2 linked regions of the Cricetulus griseus genome follow. The protein of the gene in region 1 binds, or shares a complex with, the protein of each later gene. Links are inferred from orthologs where the notes say so. Each region holds a gene or a part of one and is shown in the gene's direction. Other genes may lie near its edges.

Region 1 (10,326 bases):
GAGAGCAGAGGGGGCAGTGTCACCCTCCTCTGGGACAGACTGAAACTTCCTAGAGGGCAGAAGGCTGACCCCTTGCCTTGGCCTCCCTGTAGGATGCCAGCACCAAGGAAGGACCCCCCATGGATCACACTGGTGCAGACAGAGCCAAAGAAGAAGCCAGCCCCACTGCCCCCCAGCAACAGTCCTGGGCCACTAAGCAGACATGTGGAGAATGGAGGCCTGGAAGAAAGGACCCAGAAGAGCCCAGTATCTGAGCCAGATCCCAAGCCCTACAACCCCTTTGAGGAGGAAGAGGAGGAAGAGGAGTCAGCCCCAGCAGTACCAGGCCCTGTCCCAGCCCCAGCCCCACCAGAGTCTACGCCTAAGCCCCTACACCCCTGGTATGGCATCACCCCCACCAGCAGCCCCAAGACAAAGAAGCGCCCTGCCCCGAGAGCACCTAGTGCTTCCCCACTTGGTGAGTGCTAGGTCTGAGGGTGCAGGGGGCTTTGCTATGTTTTGTACAATGTGGGTGTATGATTTCCCATTTCATCCTACAGCAGGCTGGGAGAGGGTGGCATTATTGCCACTTCATAGGGGAGGCACAGTGCTGAAGCCGCAGAGGCAGGATTTGAACCCCAGCTTTTAACATTTCCTGTTATGCCAATTCAGTGTGGAAGTCAGGGAGGGCGTGGCACAGCCCTCCATTGGGCTTCTGAAAGGCATGAGGCAGGGTTCACTTGAACCCTGCCTCCGTGTGTCTTGTCTCTCTAGCCACTGAGCAGCTTGGCTCCTACCTGGCTGTGTAGGGCTTGGTCCTTCCCTCATCTGGCCTTTGTCTCATGTGTGAGATGGGGGTCAGTTCCAGGTCCCTTTGCCCCAGCATGCTGTTTTGGTCCAACCTCAGATGTGTCTTGAACTCTTGGTCCCCTTCCCACTCCTAGGGGTGTGGCTGAAAGCTCTGTGGGACCAAGCACCTGCCAGGAACAGTTAGAGGCAAATGCTCTGCTATCTGTGCCCTGGGTCCTCTTGCTGGATGAGCTTGGTGTAATGGGGGCATGAGCTCAAGTTGGACCATGCTGTGTCTAAAGATGACCCTAGCTAGGGAGAATCCTTTGCTGAATCTGACTTCATCCAGGAAGTACAATGATGGCCGTGGAGGCATAGTCCATGTCATCTGCAGAAGGAGAAAGCCGTGCCTGGCAGTGCCTGGGCCAGCACTGGCTGTTGCAGGTGCTGCCCCCACTCTCTGCTGTTGCCTTCTTTCCAGTTTCTGTGCCAGAGACGGAGGCCAGCCTCCTTTCCCTGCCTTCCCTGTACTTGCGTCTTCATCTGCCCCAGCAGCTTGCCTTTGAGTGGGCTTGGGTGTGAGAGGAACATGGGGCACATGGGAGGGGGGAGTAGAAGGCAGCTGTCTTTCTGGGTAGGAAGTTAGGGCCATAAATGTGCCACAAGGTGGCACACTAGAGCATCAGGGGTACAAGATGGGGTCGGATGGCTGAGTGCCTTTGTGATGTGGGATCTGGAATAGGATTGGTGTTCTCTGACCTCTTGCCTATCCGGATGGGGAAGAGCTTGGTGTCCAGGGCTACCCCAGCTCTGGGAGCAAGGTGTGTCGGGGGAGGACAGAAGTCCCATCCACCGCTTGAATGTTTCTGCTGTTCTGCTCCAACAGTTCTTCATGCCTCCCGCCTGTCACACTCAGAGCCTCCTTCAGCCACACCATCGCCAGCCCTTAGTGTGGAGAGCCTGTCCTCTGAGAGCTCCAGTCACACTGCCAATGCAGAGCCCTTGGAGCCGCCTGCTGTACCCAAGAGCTCCTCAGACCCTGCCGTGCACATGCCTGGTACCCCTGGCACATCTGGGAACTCTGTCACTCCTTCGGCCAATTCTTCCCTATCACCTTCTGGGGAACAGGGGCAGCCTAGTGGTGAACAAATGCCACAGGCCAGGACCAGAGGCAGCCCAAGTACTCAGGCCACCAAGCCCTGCAGTGGTGCTACCCCCACCCCCTTCCTATTGGCTGGAGACCGGAGCCCTGCCCCTTCCCTGGGGAGCTCATCCCCACAGCTACAGATCAAGGTGAGTGCTCCATGGATGTCAGAAGCAGCCTTTTAGCTAGTGGATGTGGGGCTTGTCTTGGGGCACAAATGAGTGGACTTACCCATCATTACCTGTGTGAGACTCTGATCTGTGTATCTGTCCATCCCTCTGTCTGTTTGCTCACCAGCCTGTTTACTGACAGTGGGGTCTGTCTACACCTCTGCCCGACACCCACACCTTGTCTATCCCATCACCTTCTGGCCTCACTGATGCCAGGCATTGGGCATGTTCATTAAGACCCTGTGTTTGCCCTCTAGGGACACCCAGTCTACATGGGGAGACAGGCATATGATTGTTCCAAACTGTGATGGGTGTGAAACACGGTAGGAAAGGTGACTCCTTCACCAGAGACTGTAGTCTTGCCAAGAAGTCGTGAAGCAACTGGCCCTTGCTGACTATGTCCTGTGTTGGGGGGACACCTGGATTCCTGAGGTCACACAGGCCTCGTGGTCTCTCTTCTTGACTGGCCCGTTGTCTGGCCAGCAGGTTCTGAAATGCCCCATCAGGCTTAGGGGCTCAGGACGCACACCTTCCTGGGTTCCTCTTTTATGAGTTGTGAGGGAATGCTTATGAAGGACAGATCAGGCCAACCCTAGACCCTTGCTAGGCTCTGTCTTCTCTCAGAGGTAAAGTGGGCACGAGAAAGGTCTAGCTGGGCCACTGTCTGGCCATTTGGCTTTTGACGGGTTCTGTAGTTCCAGGTTCACTTGTTTCTTAGACTGACCCTCCCTGGGCCACAACTCCTGTTGTAGGTGTGGTACTTCCAGCTCTGCTACCTGTTGTGTGATGTTGAGAAGGCCTGCTTTTGACAGTAAGCTACTGATTAGTGCCAAGTTTCTAGAGTGTTCTGAAGAACCTCTGGGTATCTCATTTTAAATTATGTGTATCTAGGTATGGGTTTGTGCATGCGAGCATAGTGCCTATGGTAGCAGCCAGAGGGTGTCAGACCTCCTAGAGTTGGAGTTAACGGGTTCTGTGGTCACCTGATATGGGACCCTGACTCTGGACTTCTGGAAGAACAGTATGTGCTCTTAACCACTAAGCCAGGTTTTTACCGCTCTCTTTTCCGCTGTACCCTTGGGGCAGACAGGACTTTTCCTGTCTCCCTCTTTTGTCCTCTTTCTCTCTCTGTCTTGTGTCCCCCGCCATCACCACCTTGCCTCGGTCATCCTTTCCTGCCATGGAATCTGCCAAGGTTCCCCACGTGTATTATCATAACACAAGCCAGCTTCATTGCCCAGCCACAGTGCCCAGCAATACAAAAGAGGGCTAGAATATCCTTGTCACCATCCTGAAAAATGACAAAGCCAAAGCACATCAATGAGAAAAATACAACTTTTTAGAAGGAATCTTGTTTTTGGTATTACACATACACATACACAAAACAAACAAAAAAACCACTAAGCCATGTCTGCAGCCTGCCCAGCTCCACTTTTGTAATGAAAGCATGGGTTGTACAGGACACACATTTAAGAATGTTCTGTGGGCTAGGCGGTGGTGGCACATGCCTTTAATCCCAGCACTCTGGAGGCAGAGGCAGGTGGATCTCTATGAGTTCACCTGGTCTACAAGAGCTAGTTCCAGGACAGCCTCCAAAGCCACAGAGAAACACTGTCTCAAACAAAACAAAAAAAGAATGTTCTGTGGCTGAAAAAGCATGAAGGACTCAGAGGCCATGGGCTTTACTGGACTCCCTCTCTGTGTTGATACAGAGGGAGAGGGCAGAATCCCAGGGTCTTCCTAAGGGACCCAATCCCACTCTCACCTCTGGGATTAGGAGAGAATGTCAGAGGCAGTTGGAGCAGGAAACAGGTTGTGGGTGACCACACAGTCTCTGCCTCAGGCCCACTGTGTCTCTTACCTCATGAAACCAAATGCTTGTCCTACCATTTCCAGCTCTGGCTTAGGTACTTGTTCTGACTGGTTAAGGGCATGGCCTCCCCCACACACTAGGTGCAAGGAAGCTGAGGCCTCAGTTGCAAGCCCTGCTTCCCTTAAGCTGAAGGGCACTATTGGGAAGGCAGGGCCCTGGTCTCCAAGGGGAGGGGTCTCTGGAGAAAAAGAAAGATGCAGAGCCAGGCTCTAAATGTGTCTGTGGTAGGCAGGAGAGAGTAGGGAGGGGAGAATCGCCTCTCATCTATTAGGTAGAGGGAGGGTAGGAGTCCTACTGTTGGATTTCCTGGCTGGGTGACCCTAGGTGGGGGCACTGTGCCTCTCTGAGCCTTCCAGTCTCCACTGGAGAAAGCTGGCTGTGAAGACTGTAACTGTGGTTGAGGGCGGGGCCTTTAACCTCATTGCCTGACAAAGGAGCTGGGTGCTTAACCTCTCGGTACTGAGCTCAGCTGTAAGTGGGCATGCAGTAAGCGAGGCTTCTGAGCACGTGTGGCACCAGGGCTGGGGCCCAAGGCTTTGCACTCTTAAGACAAGCACTCTTTTTGTTTTTTTTTAAACTTTATTTAGTTTTTTTTTTTTTTTGAACAATGTCATACACATATAAAATGCATTCTGATCTGGTGGTGGCGCACACTTTTAATCCCAGCACTCAGGAAGCACAGGCAGGCGGATCTCTGTGAGTTCAAGGACAACCTGGTCTACAAGAGCTAATTCCAGGACAGCCTCCAAAGCTACAGAGAAGCCCTGCCTTGAAAAACCAAAAAAAAAAAAGAAAAAAAAGAAAAAAAAAGCATTCTGATTATTTTAACTCCCGACCTTCTAAGCTCAACCTTTAACCCACCCCCTTTCCTACATTTTTTTTTTTTTTAATTGAGACAAGGTCTCACTTTATAACCCTGGCTGTCCTGCAAATCACTGTGTAGACCAGGCTGGCTTCACACTCACAGTGATCTATCTGTCCTTGCCTCTGCCTCCCGAGTGCTGGAATTACTGGGGTGCGCTCCCACACTGGACTCATACAAAGACTTTTTACTCCGGCATGCTCTGGAGCAGAAAGTGTGTATGGTGTGAGAACTGACACTGGGAAGCACTCTGGAAATGGAACCGTTTGCTGAATGCGTGTGGAGAGATGGAACTTGGGGGAGTCTGTTCTTGCCTGGGTCCTCATCCTCCAGTTCCTTGGGTCCTGGCCTGCTTTCATGTTCCTGTATGATCAGACTTCTCAGACTTAACCATCCGTCATGTCTCTCCCTTCAGTCTTCCTGCAAGGAGAACCCTTTCAACAGGAAGCCGTCTCCCTCTGCATCTCCAACCGTAAGGAAGGCCACCAAAGGAGCCAAGCCCATGAGGCCACCTGCCCCTGGACATGGCTTTCCACTCATCAAACGCAAGGTACCACAAGACACTCTGAGCCCCAGCTGACCCAGCACCCTCCCCTCAGCAGCCTTAGTCATCTGGTGGCTCTGCTGGAAGGTTGAACTTATTAGCCTAGGTATCCTATGTAGCCAGGGGCAATGGTGCTAGGAGAAACTTATGCTTCTCAGAAGGTTTCCCCAATGTGCTCTGTAACCTAGCTCACTGTCTCATAAGGAACTCCTGAGTGACAGCAAAGGGAAAGGCTTCCTTCTGGAGTAGGAACTTGGACATCTCATTGGGAGTCTGTCAGACCCTTGGTCATGCCTGTCCCCTTCTCTGGCCCCTTCCTATGCTGCTTTCTTGTCATGCTACCTTGTGGGACAGGACCTGGGTTCCTAGAGCCTGCAGTGGCCAAAGGACCCTGTGAATTGGAGGGGAGGGCCACTTCTCTTTAGGTGACTAGAGTATTTGTTGTTGGGCAGGTCCAGGCTGACCAGTATATCCCTGAGGAGGATATCTATGGTGAGATGGACACTATTGAGCGCCAGCTGGATGCCCTGGAACACCGTGGTGTTTTGCTGGAGGAGAAGCTGCGTGGAGGAGCAAATGGTGCGGGAACTGCAGAGAGGAGCTGGCTGAGGGCTATGGGTTGATGGGAGGCCCTCAGCTTGGGGGGGGGGAGGCCCTCAGATGGGGCCCTCAGCTGCGAGCTCTGGCCTCAGTGGGGATCTGGCTTCCAGAGGGAAGTGAGGACAACATGCTGGTGGACTGGTTCAAGCTTATCCACGAGAAACACCTATTAGTGCGGCGAGAGTCAGAGCTCATCTATGTGTGAGTCCAGGCTGCCCTGGGAACTTTCACCCTTTGCCATGACAGCACAGGGCGGGGGGCGGGCGTACTTCACCGAAGTGTTTACTTCCTCTTCGTCCCACCCTTTAGTGTCAAGCAGCAGAACCTGGAGCAGCGCCAGGCTGATGTGGAGTTTGAACTTCGGTGCCTTCTCAACAAGCCAGGTGAGCCATCTTAAAAAATTAAAAATAAACCAGGAGGTGGTGGTACACACCTTTAATCCCAGCACTAGTAAGGCAGAGGCAGGTGGATCTCTGAGTTTGAGGCCAGCCTGGTCTATAGAGTTAGTTCTAGGACAGCCAGGATAGGAATACGTAGAGAAACCCTGTCTTGAAAAACAAAATAAAACTCTGAAGGTCTGGGGAGGTGGCTTAGTCACTAAGTGCTTGTGCAAGTACGAGGACCCAAGCTTGACTCTTAGAACCCACTATTTGTGGGATCCAGGCATAATGGGAACTTCAATTGGGTCAAGGGATGAGTTGGGGTATGGAGTAGAAGAACGACTGACCTTCCTTGTTTGTGGCTATGACACCAACTGCCCTTTCCTCTGTGTGTGTGTGTGTGTGTGTGTGTGTGTGTGTGTGTATGTGTGATGCACTGATCTATAGCTGCTAGTAGAGACCACAGAGCTATGGATGGATCCAGGGTCTGACCTCTTTCCTCTGTTGTGACATCATGCCAGGATTGGGTGATGGGCCGCCATTGCCATTTCACTGTAGGGAAAGCTGTAGCCACGCCTTCTTAGGGGCTGGCTACAGGTGTGCCTGACCAGGCTTGTGAGGGCGTGGTCAGAGTGACGTAGTGGGACTGCGTTTTCGGTTTCGGTTTCGGTTTCTCTTTGCTTCTTGCTGTACAGACCTCTACCACGCCGGCTGGCTAGGTTGCTCTGTAAGAAAGGCTTTTCCCTATTAAATACCCTTGTATTTCTACCTGACTCCGTATTGGTAATTTCCCACAATATTTCACAGCTTAGGTTAGAGAGAAATGTACCCAGAGGCCAGGGTTTCTTTATTTGTGTAAGAGCTGCTAGCTCTGACTTTGCCCTGTGCCTGTCCTCAACACCAGTCTCCCATCTCTCTGACTGGAATCTTGCCTCTCCATTGACTCGGGAACTTGGAAGTCTGGGGTGACCCCAAGTCACAGAATGTCCTAGGCCTCTTTTGCCAACTGTGAGTCACTTCCAACTCAGCAGGAGGCTGGGGGTATGGCCACCACTTAGGAGCCCAGTGTGACTAGAGTGGGTATGAAACCATCAGCCTCAAGGCTGTGGCTGTCATCTGTCCCCTTTAGCTTCTCCCTGATGCTGCTTTTGAAGATGAAACTGGTTTATGTGACCCTGAGGGAGTTGGGTCCATAGATACCAAGAAAGACTACCATGTAGGAGGTCAGACTCCCTGGGTTCAATTCGGTCTTACTTTCTCTGGGCATTGCTGGCCAAAGGCTTCGTTTTCCAAAGCTTCAGTTTTCCTACACGTAGATTAGGAGTGTAGCTTACCAGGATCTAGGTAGAAGAAAGGCAGAGCAGGATTTGAACTTGGGTGGTGACTGTGAAGCCATACTCTGTCCCCAGAACTGGGCTGGGGCTTCCCAACCCTCAGTTTTGGCAAGATGAGGTCATAGGGGAATGGGGCAGTTCCTGATAGCTTCAAGATGTTTATTTCCAGATGTGTAGCACATAAGGGCACCAGGCGTGGGTACCCAGTCCTGGATCCTGCAGATGGTGGGAGAAACCAGACATAGGTGGGGCCCTGAGGGTGGTCCTGTGAGGCTGCCCTGGGCCTGGAAAAGGAAAGAGGCTGATGGGTGGCAAGTGTTAGTGACATCAAGGCTCCTCCTGGCTGAGCTCCTGTCCCCAGTCCTCTCCTGTATGGCCCTGGGAACATGTTCCTCTGTGAGACTTGGACCATACTGCTTCTGCAGGTGGGCCTCTGGGTGTTTCTTGTCATTCCCTCCCCATTCTTGTCTATTTAAACCAGTCCAATATAGCTTCCCACAAGAAACCACCAACAACCAGGCAGTGGTGGTACATACCTTTAATCCCAGCACTTGGTAGACAGAGGCAGGTGGATCTCTGAGTTTGAGGCTAGCCTGGTCTACAGAGTGAGTTCCAGGACAGCCAGAACTGAACTGTTACACAGAGAAACCCTGGCTTGAAAAACCAAAAAGAACAAGTCACCAACAAGTGTCTGTTGTCAGAAGCCTTTGAGGAGTGCTGTCCCTGCCTGGTGTCTTGAACAGTATGTTTGGTATACAGAAAGCCCTTGAGAATTGCCAGCCTTGCACAGTGTCCTTGAATGGTGTGTTTGGTGGGCACATTGGCCCTGCATGGTGTCCTTGAACAGTGTTTGGTGGGCAGGAGGCCCTTGAGAATTTCTGGCTCTACAGTGTATCGCTTGAACGGTTTTTGGTGGATAGCCAAGTGTTCTTGGTTTTCTCCTAGAACTATCTTCATCTCTCTAAGAGCTTGTGAGTGGCACTCTGGGCCCTCCTCTCAACCCATATGGATGGCCTACAGTCTTCCCAGGAACTCAGGTGGTGTGTCTGCTATTGTGAAGACAAGGTTCCCCATCACTCACTCTGGCTTTCTCCTTTGGCAGAAAAGGACTGGACAGAGGAGGATCGGGCCAGAGAGAAGGTGCTGCTGCAGGAATTCATGACCCTTATCGACCAGCGCAATGCCATTGTCAACTGCCTGGATGAAGACCGGCAGAGGTGCCATGCCTGGGACCCCATGGGTGGAGCCACTTCCTGGCAGAGCCTGGGAGAAAGTTAGCCCTACCCTCACTGCCAGCTTTCCCTCACACTTGCCCAGTCCTGTGGGGCCTAGAGGCAGGAAGGGACTCACAAATGACCTGGTGCTGTGGGCACTCAGCTTGTCTTTTCCACCCCAGGGAAGAGGAGGAAGACAAGATGTTGGAAGCTATGATCAGGAAGAAAGGTGAGGCTCACCCTGTGGAGGGGCCTGTGTTTGCAACCTGGAAATGGAGGTTGAGCAGGTTCCGTCCTGTAGGGATGACTGGTTGTGATGTGAAGTCCCAGGCTCTATTTTGCTGGGAAGCCAAATGAAATGAGGGAGGCAGTCAGCAGTGTAGTTGTGGCTCAGGTTGGGTGGGAAGCCAGGGGATTCCCTTTTGTCTATAGAAGGACTGTGGTCTACCAGGGAGCCTTGGCCCAGCGTGGTTTTGCCCAGAGCTCTGCAGGTTAGCTTAGGAGCACGGGAACCTCAAGCTTGTTCAGGGTTAGAGTGTCCAGAGTGGCTAAGGTTGCTGTACCAAGAGAGGGGCTCGGGGATTGACCTTGATTCCACCTGTGGCTCACTGTGTGGCCTTCTGGGTACATCTTAGATGAGGCTGGAGCCAGACTGGCTTCTGGTCCCTGCTTGGAGACAAGTTGGGTGGCTGAGCCAGTTCTGTCAGCCCTCACTTCACTGCTGTTGTGATGGAACCTCTCTCCCAAGTGGGCCAAGGGTTATGGAGCTGACTGTGTAGAGCACCAGCCTGGGGTTAGACACCTCCAAGTGCATGGGTAGTGTTACCATCCTGGGTTAGGCACCTACAGTGCGTGGGTGGCACTGCTTCTTTTCAGAGACACATGTTTTCTTTGTGAGAGTTCGAGGTTTGGGCAGGTGGTTTCTGAGGTGTTCCCTAGTCCTGGCACTCAGTATTTCTGCTGTAGTCTATAGAGCTACGTATTTCAGTACAGGTGATCTGAGCTATTACATCTCACAGTGGTTCTCAACCTTCTTAATGCTGCAGGCTCTTAATACAGTTCCTAGTGTTTTGGTGACTCCAACCATAAAATTATTTTGCTGCTATTTCATAACTAATTTTGCTACTGTTATGAATCATAAGTATCTGATATACCCCAGATTGAGCACTCCTGCCTCAGAGGTTCCAGATTGTTCTCACCGATGTGTGGATCTCAGGGAGAAAAGGGAGACTTGGTACATTGACATGACTTGGTTCATGAATGGACTGGAGCCTTGATGGACACATACCTGCTCAGTGACACTGGCCACTGCTCCATCTGGCCCCCAGTGCTCCCCTCCCTTCCTGACTGAGTACCTTTGTTCTTTGCAGAGTTCCAAAGAGAGGCTGAGTCTGAGGGTAAGAAGAAAGGCAAGTTTAAGACTATGAAGATGCTGAA
Region 2 (10,326 bases), on another chromosome or scaffold:
TCGAGGCCAGTCTGGTCTACAGAACAAGTACCAGGATAGGCTCCAAAGCTACACAGAGAAACCCTGTCTCGAAAGACCAAACAAAAAAAAGAAAGAAAAACAAAAAACAAAAAAAAAACTACCCCTTGAGGCAGGAGAGACCAACGAGTCTGCCTTTGGGCTGCTGTACTGTTCAGTTCAGAGCATTTTAGGAATTTACAAAATAACCTCCAGCCTAGAAATTCCAGGCCACATCAGTGCTCAGAAGCACTAGGGAAGCCTTGGGGCCATGCTCAATCCTCTCCTCCCTCAGGTTATGACTTTGCGGCTGTCCTGGAGTGGTTTGCTGAGCGCGTGGACCGCATCATCCTGCTCTTTGACGCCCACAAGCTGGACATCTCAGACGAGTTCTCAGAAGTTATCAAGGCCCTCAAGAACCACGAGGACAAGATCCGTGTGGTGCTAAACAAGGCCGACCAGATTGAGACCCAGCAGCTGATGAGAGTGTACGGAGCTCTCATGTGGTCTCTGGGGAAGATTATCAACACCCCCGAGGTAGTCCGGGTCTACATTGGCTCCTTCTGGTCACACCCATTGCTCATCCCTGACAACCGCAAGCTCTTCGAGGCAGAGGAGCAGGATCTCTTCAAAGACATCCAGTCTCTACCCAGAAATGCTGCCCTTAGGAAGCTCAATGACCTGATCAAGCGGGCCAGGCTGGCCAAGGTAGTCCCTGTGGCTGGGTGAGGGGATTGGCTGCTGCCAGATAGGCCCAGGGGCTCTGGGACTGGCACTTGGGGCCCAGTTTTTACCAAACATATATCACTTAACCTGTGTGTGAAAACCACTGCCTTGTGTACCCACTGTGCAGCCTGCTCTTGACTAAGGTCTTTAACCTGTGTCATCTCAGCCTGTTCTCTCTGAGTCTTATGCCCCACCTAGATCAGAAAATGCAAAGAACATGCATTCGCCTTAGAAATGTCAAACAGGAAGTTACTACAGAACAAAGGAGGCCACCAGGAAGTGGAATGTGCTGGCCTGGTTGGCTTCAACAAACCCCTTGGGTGGGTGTGTGTGTGTGTGTGTGTGTGTGTGTGTGTGTGTGTGTGTGTGTGTACTAGTGTGCTCAGCTTGGCACTGAACAGTATGGACTCACAGGGAGTGACACACACAGCACCATTCAAGCCTTCGTGGGAGAACAATGTACATATGAAGCAGAAACATTGGTGATTTGGTGTTGCTGGTTAAGGTTCTGTCTGAGAGGAGGACTGGGGAGTCATCATGGTGGGATAAAGGGACCTGGGAGGCCTGCATGGGACTGGTGTGTAAGCTGGGACAAGAAGTAGCTAGAAAAAAAGATGGGTGCCAATCTGTGGCCCAAATAGTGCTGGATGCTACAGTCCAGACCCCTGGTGGCTGCTTTCTGCACAGACAATATAAATACCCTTTCCCATCGGTGGGAATGTGGGCCACATCCAGGTGCAGCACCACCTTCTGAGGTCCTTAAAGCCCTGGAACCTTAATGGCAGCTAAGCCTATGTGAGAGCCCAAAATGGCCTGAGCTAGGGAGTGGAGATCAGTGCCACCTCTGGGCTTTAGGGTATCCGAGTTTCTGCATCATGGGTTGCCTAGATAAGTCACTGGGGGGGCTGTTCAATGATGGCTCAGGTGACCCTTTGAATAGGAAGGCTTGACATGGAGTGGGTGGTGCGGTAGTGACCCTGTCCAAACACTGTTAACAGGGTTCCCATTGTCAGACTAGTCTGGAGGCTGAGGCAGGAATATACCTTGAACACTTGGCCTGAACAATTGTCTCAAAACACAAAAGTGGGTTTCTGCCTGGCCCCTCCCTTGAAAGGAGTTGACTCAAGAGACCTGTCATGTGAGCCACCTAGTCTCCAGAGAGACATCTCAGAGGGCAGGGTGTTTACAGCTGACTGGGGCACATGGAGAAGTACCTGTGGCCATTGAGACAGTCACTTCAGGAGCCTTCCCAGCCATCCCTGTTCCATTGCTGTCTGCATACTAGATACCAGGCACGCACCTCTGCCTCAGGGCCAGTCATAAAATATTTGGGGGGTTCCCTGGCCAGGGCAACCTAGGCTGATGCTTTATCCTTCACTACTGCCAAGTATCTGCCATTGTCACTCAAGTACCCCGGCTGACAAGGTAGCAGGGTATGGCATTTCCCATCCTCTTTACAGGGTACAGGGGTGGGTTTTTTGTTTTTTTCCAGTATCTCCAAATGCCTGTGTATGTAAGGTCTCCTCATGAGCTGAGCCTAGCAGTTCTGAGAAAGGAACTAATAAGAACTCTCATGTGACTGCCCAGGCTCCTAAAGGAGCTACCAGGTAGTACACAACTCTTGAGGCTACAGTGTCCACAACTGGAAATCCTACCGTCTCCAGTGCTGTTCCACATGGTTCATATACCACTGCTTGCTTTTCCTGGAGTGAGAGTGACTCATTGGCTTGTGCAGGCAGAGCTGTGACTGGCTTTGGGTGACCTGCCTACCTTGGCTTTCTTGGGAAGGCCTTGACACCAGTCCCAGGACCCGGGAAGGGCTGCTCCTCTTGGATGGTTTTGGGCCATCCAGTTCCCTGGACTGGGTAGGTGCTGGGGGCAGTTGAGGAGAGCTTTCATTGAATTTTCTGGTTCTGAGTTGTCCGGGCCTATTCTGGTGACACCTGGCTTATTGCTCAAGTGGGATTGGGACTCCTGAGCACTGCACAGACGCATGCTGGGATGAGGCTTCCCCACCACTCAGCTCTTGGTGGCTGTCATGTGTGTTGTATTGTTGGGAAGGCAGTGCAGGGAGAACACAGGTAGAAAAATGGGCAGAACTGAATTGTAATTCTGTACAAGAGTGTCATCTGTCCTCTGTTTGAAGTGCCCTTTCCCCGCTTCCATTCCCATGGCATTGAGCCCTTGTCATACCCCTTGTCAGAATTGTGTGTCACTCTTAGGCCTTTGGGTTCTTGTGATAGTGGCTTCACCTTTTAGCTTGACTTTGACCTTTCTGCTTCCCTCTACCCAAGCAGTGAACTTTAGGCACTAGAGGCCTCGAAGACCCTGAGGGCAGTGTGCCAAGCAAGTCTCTGATGCCCACTGTTTCCTGTCCCTTCAGGTCCATGCCTACATCATCAGCTCCCTCAAGAAGGAGATGCCCAATGTCTTTGGGAAAGAGAGCAAGAAGAAAGAGCTGGTGAACAACCTGGGAGAGATCTACCAGAAAATCGAGCGGGAGCACCAGATTTCCCCCGGTGACTTCCCGAGCCTACGCAAGATGCAGGTACAGTCTCCAGACCAGATTCTGAGCGCTCTGTGTGGGGCTGAGGCAGGCCCAGGGTGCTGGGCAGTGGTTCTGGAGGGAACCACAAAAGGAAGCAGCTGGGTTAGTCACCAGTTCCCCACCCGAATCAGAGTTGACCTAGGTCGAGACACTGACACAAAAGAGGGGAATGTGGTGACTCAGCCTGGGGGTGCGGCATGGCTGTCGATGAATCTTCACTGCGGCCTGGCGAGGATGGGCACTGCTGTGACCTCATGAGCAGAGTGAGGAGCCCGGCCTGCAGCACTAGCTCAGCTGCCTGAGCTGCCAAGTGGGAGCTCTGCTCTCCCTACTTGGGCAGCCTGGCTGAGTCCACTGCGTCTGGAGTCGAGGAGGCTGCCCCACCAGGCTTTTCTTTCTCCTCCACTCACAGGAACTCCTGCAGACCCAGGACTTCAGCAAGTTCCAGGCCTTGAAGCCCAAGCTGCTAGATACAGTGGATGACATGCTGGCCAACGACATAGCCCGGCTGATGGTGATGGTGCGCCAAGAGGAGTCCCTGATGCCCTCACAAGCTGTGAAGGGTGGTGCTTTTGATGGCACCATGAATGGGCCCTTTGGGCATGGCTACGGCGAGGGGGCTGGCGAGGGCATCGATGATGTTGAGTGGGTGGTTGGCAAGGACAAGCCCACCTATGATGAGATCTTCTATACACTGTCTCCTGTCAATGGCAAGATCACTGGCGCTAATGCCAAGAAGGAGATGGTGAAGTCCAAGCTGCCCAACACGGTGCTGGGGAAGATCTGGAAGCTGGCTGATGTGGACAAGGATGGCCTGCTGGATGATGAGGAGTTTGCTCTGGCCAACCACCTTATCAAGGTCAAGTTAGAGGGTCATGAGCTACCCTCTGACCTTCCTCCACATCTCATCCCACCCTCCAAACGGAGGCATGAGTGACAGCCATGCCTGACATACCCCAGCCCCCAGGGCTGCTGGCACTTTCTACCCGCCAGCTCCTTGCCTGCCTATGTGGGCCTGGGACTGGAGGGGCAGAGAGGGGGAGGGAAAGGGTCACCATTTTTCAAGGTCCATAAAGACTGAGCGGTGTTTCCTCAGCTCTTGAATAGGAAAACCACCATCTTTCTTTTAAGGCTGTCCGGGGTTCAGTGGGAGGCATGGGTGATGCTTGGATGTGAACAGTGGGATTTTGTGCACAAGAACCATGATATTTTTAATATATAATGTTAGGGGCAGCCTTCTTTCTTGCCTCTTCCTCTGTCTGACAGCCCCACACTCAGCCTCTCCCTACCCCAGCCTTGCCTTCTGCCTTGCCCTGGCCAGGCAGCAACAGGGACTCTGGGGAACCCCTCTCACAACCTACCCTGGCACACTCTTGTGGCAGCTGCCTCAGGACTGTGCAGACAGGAGAGCCCCCGCCCCTGCCCCCAGCTCCCTCAGTTTGTTTTTAGACTGAGGTTTATTCATGGGGCAGTAGCTGGCTTTCTCCTAGTGCTTGAGTAAGCTGTTCCACATTTCTGCTGTGGTCTGGGGGGCATGCCCTCCTTTACTTCCACACCCTGTCTCTGACATCCCAGCCATCATAGCAGCCACAGGTAGAAGACCCAGCCACTGTTAACTTTTGTGGGGATTGGAGAGGTTAGAGACAGTGTCTTCCAGGAAAATACATAAGCTAGGTATTGTTCTGTGACACTTTATACTTGACCCAATTTTCCAGTAACTCCCACAACACTTGTTCAAAGCTGTGATTTTTGTTTCCCTTTCCTATACTCCAGCCTTGGATCGGTTCCACCTCACAGCCAGCATAGAGCAGACCCCTTGGGCTTGAGTTGCCTTCTGGCTGAGGGGAGGTCATCCCAACTCCTGCTCTGAGGGGTCTGAGGGGTCTGAAATGTACTCGCTTAAAGTCAACCTTCATGGCAGCTTCCTGGAGCCCCTGACTGCCTTGGGGTGGGCAGTGGGCCCTGTGACCCGGGGTGGTGTGCTGGTAAGAGGAAGCCTGTGGCCTGGTCTGGGTGTAGTGTCCAAGCAGCAGGATAGGGGAAAACCCAACCCCTTCCCTCACCCTCTCATTTCCTTCCTCCCCTCCTCCCCTGCTGAGCCAAGGAGGTCTGGGTGTTCTGAGATCCCCAGACTGAGCAATAAGAAGCCAGAGCTAGCAAGTGACCACTTTGGCCACCTCACTGCAGCCTCAGGGACCTGGACACGCCCTATGGCCAGTGGTTGGCTGTCAGGGTGGGCTTTACACTGAGGTGGTGGAGCAGCTGCAGCCTGCTCATCTGACACTGCCGGTGGGCTTCAGGGAGCTGCCTGCCATCACCCAGCCCTGCTCTGGGCCTTGCTGGGGCTGAGCTCCAGCCTGGCCTGTTAGCTCCTTGCCTCGGCCTTCCATCCCTGCTGTTGGCTGAGGGTAGGTGAGATGTCCTCACAGGTCCACTATGTAACGTCCAGCTAGCTCGGTCCTCACCTATGGGGAGAGTGGCTGAGTGAAGACTTTGTTCCTTACATTAAAGAAAGTTTAATTGTGCCAAGGCTTTTTGTGCTCCATTGTCTTTTCCCTGGCCCTGGAGCCTTTGCAAGGGTCCCCCAAGGAGCCCACGACCACCCACCTGCTGTGCAGGGTTGAAACTGGCAGGACTATCTGGAAACTGAACTTGATGGTGCACATTCATAGTCCCAGCACTTGGCATTTGGAGGGAGGACCAAGAGTTCAAGGTCATCTTGGACTATATGAGGGACTGCCAAAAAATCAAAACACCAACAGAGATTGACAGCAAGCAGAGTTTTATGTTGGGCCAGCTTCTGCCATCTCCACTCAAGAGTATGTTAGCCACAGACTGGTTAGTATGTTTAGGATTGGGAGGGATCTTCCAGGGCTCCTTAGCCACCTGACTCCTCACTTGCCCCAAGGCAGGTTTGGAGACAGCCCAGCCAGCTCTGAAGACAGACAAAGCAGACAAAATCCACAGTTCTGGGTGGGGTTGGTTACAGCCAGCTGATGTCACAGATAGGGGACCTGTTTATGACAAGAGAGGAAAGGATGACAAATTGGGAGTGACATGCCCGGAAGGGTGCAGATGGGAAGTAGGGCTGGGGAGAGACTCTCTAGGCAAGGTTAGGACAGAAGTAGGGACAAACAGGTGTTTATCTCTGAGCTAGAGCTGCCTCCAGGGTCCTGCTGCAGCTAAGGCAGGCCTGATAGTCCAGGCGCCATAGACTTGACACAAGGTAGCATGGTTTGCCTGAGTTCTGTGTTCTTCTATTTTCAGATTAAGGGCCCAGGACAGGGCAACACATGCAGCAATGGTAGCCAAGGGGATTCAAACTCAAGTCCACCAACTCTGGTCCTGTTCTTGAGGCAGTTCTCAGGGAAACAACTTTTAAAGCAAAGACTGTGTCTGGATTCCCAGCTCACCTCACCCTCAAGCCACTTCCCAGTCTCAAAAAGACTCAAAGCCGCCATTCCACCTGAGGTTTTAGAAGCTTGGGACCATCTGTCAGCTTTCAGAAATGCCCTGCGCTTGCTCAAGCTGTCAGCACCAAAGAAAACAGGTCCAAGCAGCTCCCTTGAATGTGGTAGGACCCAGCTTCACCCCAGCTGTGGGGCTCATGGTATTCTGTCCACTCAGCCCCATCCCTCTCAGGTGATTTCCCCCAAAGGATACCCAGATGGTGCCCACTGAACAAGAAGTTTGAGGGAGCCAGGTGGTGGCGGTGCCCACCTTTACTCAGGAGGCAGAGGTAGATAGATCTCTGTGAGTTCAAGGCCAGCCTGATCTACAGAGTGAGTTCCAGAACAGCCAGGACTGTTTCACAGAGAAACCTTGTCTCAAAAATAATAATAATAATTAATTTAAAAAAAAAAAGATTGAAGGGGGCTGGAGAGATGGCTCAGATGCCTGTTCTTCCAGAGGTCCTGAGTTCAATTCCCAGCAACATGGTGGCTCACAACCATCCGTTATGAGATCTGGTCCCCTCTTCTGGTGTGCAGATATACATGGATGCAGAATGTTGTATACATAATAAATAAATTCTTTCTTAAAAAAAGGCTGTCTTGAAAACACACACACACACACACACACACACACACACACACACACACACACACACACACACACACACACACACACACTCACACACCAAAAAACTTTCTTAAAAAAAAAAAAAAAAAGATTGAAGGAGAGCAAAAGCAGGCATCGCCTGACTGCTGCCCCTGAACTCAGGTAAAGTGTTTTGGTTCCACAACTTGAACTCCTTTGGGCCATGTGGGATTGAAGGAGAGATGTCCACCTGTAGGGCTGGCCCTTACCCCTTTGCTCCCTTGTCTCTTGTCACCTTGCTCCCTTGCCTCCTTTCTAGTTTCCTAGAAGCCAAAATCTATCTAGAAGCAAGTTCCACCCTGTTCCCAAGCCCTAGGATAAGAGGCCTTTAGGACTGTCTGTCATCCCTGCCTGTCATCTTAGTCTACAGCACCACACCAATCTGAGACCAAGGAGGCAGGGAACCACCTCTGTGCTGCCCATGCCAGCTCTGTAGTATAAGGAGGGTTCTTGCAGGACCATTCTCATGGCCAGTGGGCTAGTAAGAGGACAATGGGGACAGAGGGATGGAGAGAGGACTTGGCAATCTAGAGCACTGGTTGTTCAAGAGTCTCCGGGTCTGATTGCCAACACTCACATGGAGGCTCACAACCATCTATAACTTCAGTTGCAGCAGATCTAACACTGGCTTCTAAGAACACTTCTCGAATGTGGTACACATACATGCAGGCAAAACACCTATACACCTAAAATAATCTGCACATATGCTTTAAAGCTTGTATGTATAGCACTCATGAGACACTGGGTTTAATCCCCCAACACTGCAAATAAGTAAATAAATGAATCAGTTGCTAACTGTCAGCTTCAAACAGCAGAATTGACCAAGCAGCAGCATGTTTAAATTCTAGCTCTGTTACTTGCTGGAGCTGAGCCTGGTTTTTGCCTTCTAAGCCCATTCTTTGGGCTCCAAAGAAACCTGTGCTCAGCTTCCTCCCCTGAGCACCTTGGGAAGGGATACTCAGGGTTGTAGAGGATGTGGGGAACATGGTACCCCACCCAACACCCAGAATAAAACGGGACCCACCCTTCCCTGAAGCAGCTCAGACAGGGTGGCGCCCATGAGCTACAGGGGTGCAAGGTAAGGGGGCTCTGGCCTGGCTTCCTGTGCACCCAGAGAGAGGAGTAATTGCAAAACCACATGGGCTGCAGCTGAGCAGAGCGTGGGAGCCCCTGTGGTGAGCTGGAGCAGCACAGGGGAGGGTTTGAGAAGAAAAGCCAGGATGATGAAATCACCATATGTCCACCCATTTGGAACATTGGACATTTCACAGGAAATACCCGTAGTGTGGCCGGCAGGGAAGTGTTATGGGAGCTGACACAGGTTAAAATTTGAGGGGTCTCCACTGGCCATACAGAAACCTTCAAACAAGCCCTGAGCAGCAGAGGCAGGGCTATTGAGCTCCCCAAACCATAGCTATTCCTAGATAGAAATGTCAGACAGGCCAACAGGAGCCCCATGCCACCTCATTTTCTCTAGTATCCAAGCAGGTGCCCCTCTCCATTATATGTAAAAAGTGATCAGAGAGAGGGTAAGGACTTGCCCAAGGTGTTACACCTGGGCCACAGCAAGCAGACCTATGCAACCTGGTAGGCAGCCATTCTTGGAATGCAGAAACAGAGCTTTTGTGCCACTTCTGAAACTAGGGCTAGAGGACTCAGCCACCCCCATGGAGCTGAGTCTGGATTTTAGAAGGGGGAACTGCAAATCTAGGCTCAGGAAACCTGAAATGTGACCACAAAAATTATAGGCACCCTTCCTTCAGCCCACCTTGAATCTGGGTTCTTTTCAGATTCAGAGGGTGTCAGAAACACCTAGGCTTCCTGCTCCAAATCCTTTCCCCTTCTGGGTCTCTCCCTCTAAGAAGTTTCTCTATTTCTCCTAAGCCTGGGACTCTGAGTTGACAACTTCTTTTCTTCATCCAAGGCCTTTTACAGGAGCATTTACCCAATCCATCTAGGTAGGGCTTTGCGTTCTTTATGTCCCATAGCCCATGGCACCCTTCTGCTGCTGGCAATGGGAAGCCAGGAATTCAGGGTGTGGACTACAGGAAGAATCTAGAGCTGTTTGTCACTGCCTCCTGGCCTCTCTGTGTTGATCTGTGCAGTGGGTGGATAATAATATGCCTGTCTCTGGAGATAAGACATCTGTGACCACTTTGAAACACCAAGGATCTTTTTAAGAGAGTAAGGTGTTATCTACTGCCAGGGCCTCTCCTGAAAGCTGGTGCCAACACCTCCACACCAAGGAAGCTTGGGAGGCAAGGGAGGGCTGCAGAGTAGCAGGTCCCTCCTGCAGACCTGGTTGAGGCTCCAGGATGAAATGACACCAAGTAAGCCTTTTGAAGAGACAGAATGACAATGACCTGACTGCTCAGACTGGCTGGGGCTGAGGCTCTGAGCTGACAGATTCCCTCATGGCTGGGCTGGACCATGAGCCAAGTGCAGTGCTCGGTTGTGAGCAAGGTCTCTCTGGTCTGGAGAGCCAAGTCCACTGGAGATCAGAGAACAGAACAGTAGGATGAAGGGTGCGGACTGTAGGAGCAGTTGTGAGTGTTAGGGCTAGAAGTCTGCCTATCTGTTGAAGCCAGAACAGAATCTGGCCGAGAGTGAACCTGTAAGGACTTTCTGAGGCTACAATGAAGTGAGCAGCAGGGACCACTTATACAAATAAGGAAGCAGCCGTTTGCAAAAATGATGAGACAAAAACTAATACAGAGGCTGAGGATTGGTTGCTAGGAAAGCCCAGTTGGTTGAGGGCTTTCCTAGCATGATAGAGACATGGGTTTGCTTCCCTGAAACTTCATGAGACAGGCACACAGAAGGAGGTGCAGGCAGAAGAATGAGTTCAAAGTCAACCTTTGTTAGATAGTGTGGAGAACTGAAGTCCAACCCAGGATATATACAACCATCAAACAAAAAAATAAATATAGAACCTAAAAGAATGAACTGCCTGAGAG

Evidence for each region.
Region 2: the proteins of Micall1 (region 1) and Ehd1 are in contact, whole or in part, in an NMR structure (PDB 2KSP), measured with the Homo sapiens proteins. The link is inferred for Cricetulus griseus from reciprocal best matches to the Homo sapiens genes MICALL1 and EHD1. Residues at the interface, in NP_203744.1 of Homo sapiens: Lys422, Tyr424, Asn425, Pro426, Phe427, Glu428, Glu429; in NP_001269373.1 of Homo sapiens: Gly464, Ala467, Lys468, Met471, Asn478, Leu481, Gly482, Trp485, Lys486, Lys492, Asp493, Gly494.

The regions. Positions count from the first base shown.
Region 1 is NC_048595.1:376,244,556-376,254,881, forward strand, and holds part of Micall1 (MICAL-like protein 1), read left to right. Parts: intron 1-92; coding exon 93-457; intron 458-1,654; coding exon 1,655-2,061; intron 2,062-5,232; coding exon 5,233-5,367; intron 5,368-5,813; coding exon 5,814-5,940; intron 5,941-6,071; coding exon 6,072-6,162; intron 6,163-6,270; coding exon 6,271-6,344; intron 6,345-8,777; coding exon 8,778-8,892; intron 8,893-9,071; coding exon 9,072-9,118; intron 9,119-10,259; coding exon 10,260-10,326. UniProt on the Homo sapiens protein: Lipid-binding protein with higher affinity for phosphatidic acid, a lipid enriched in recycling endosome membranes. On endosome membranes, acts as a downstream effector of Rab proteins recruiting cytosolic proteins to regulate membrane tubulation.
Region 2 is NC_048596.1:53,051,668-53,061,993, reverse strand, and holds the end of Ehd1 (EH domain-containing protein 1), read left to right. Parts: intron 1-292; coding exon 293-705; intron 706-3,106; coding exon 3,107-3,271; intron 3,272-3,683; coding exon 3,684-4,208; 3' UTR 4,209-5,801; downstream 5,802-10,326. UniProt on the Homo sapiens protein: ATP- and membrane-binding protein that controls membrane reorganization/tubulation upon ATP hydrolysis. In vitro causes vesiculation of endocytic membranes. Acts in early endocytic membrane fusion and membrane trafficking of recycling endosomes.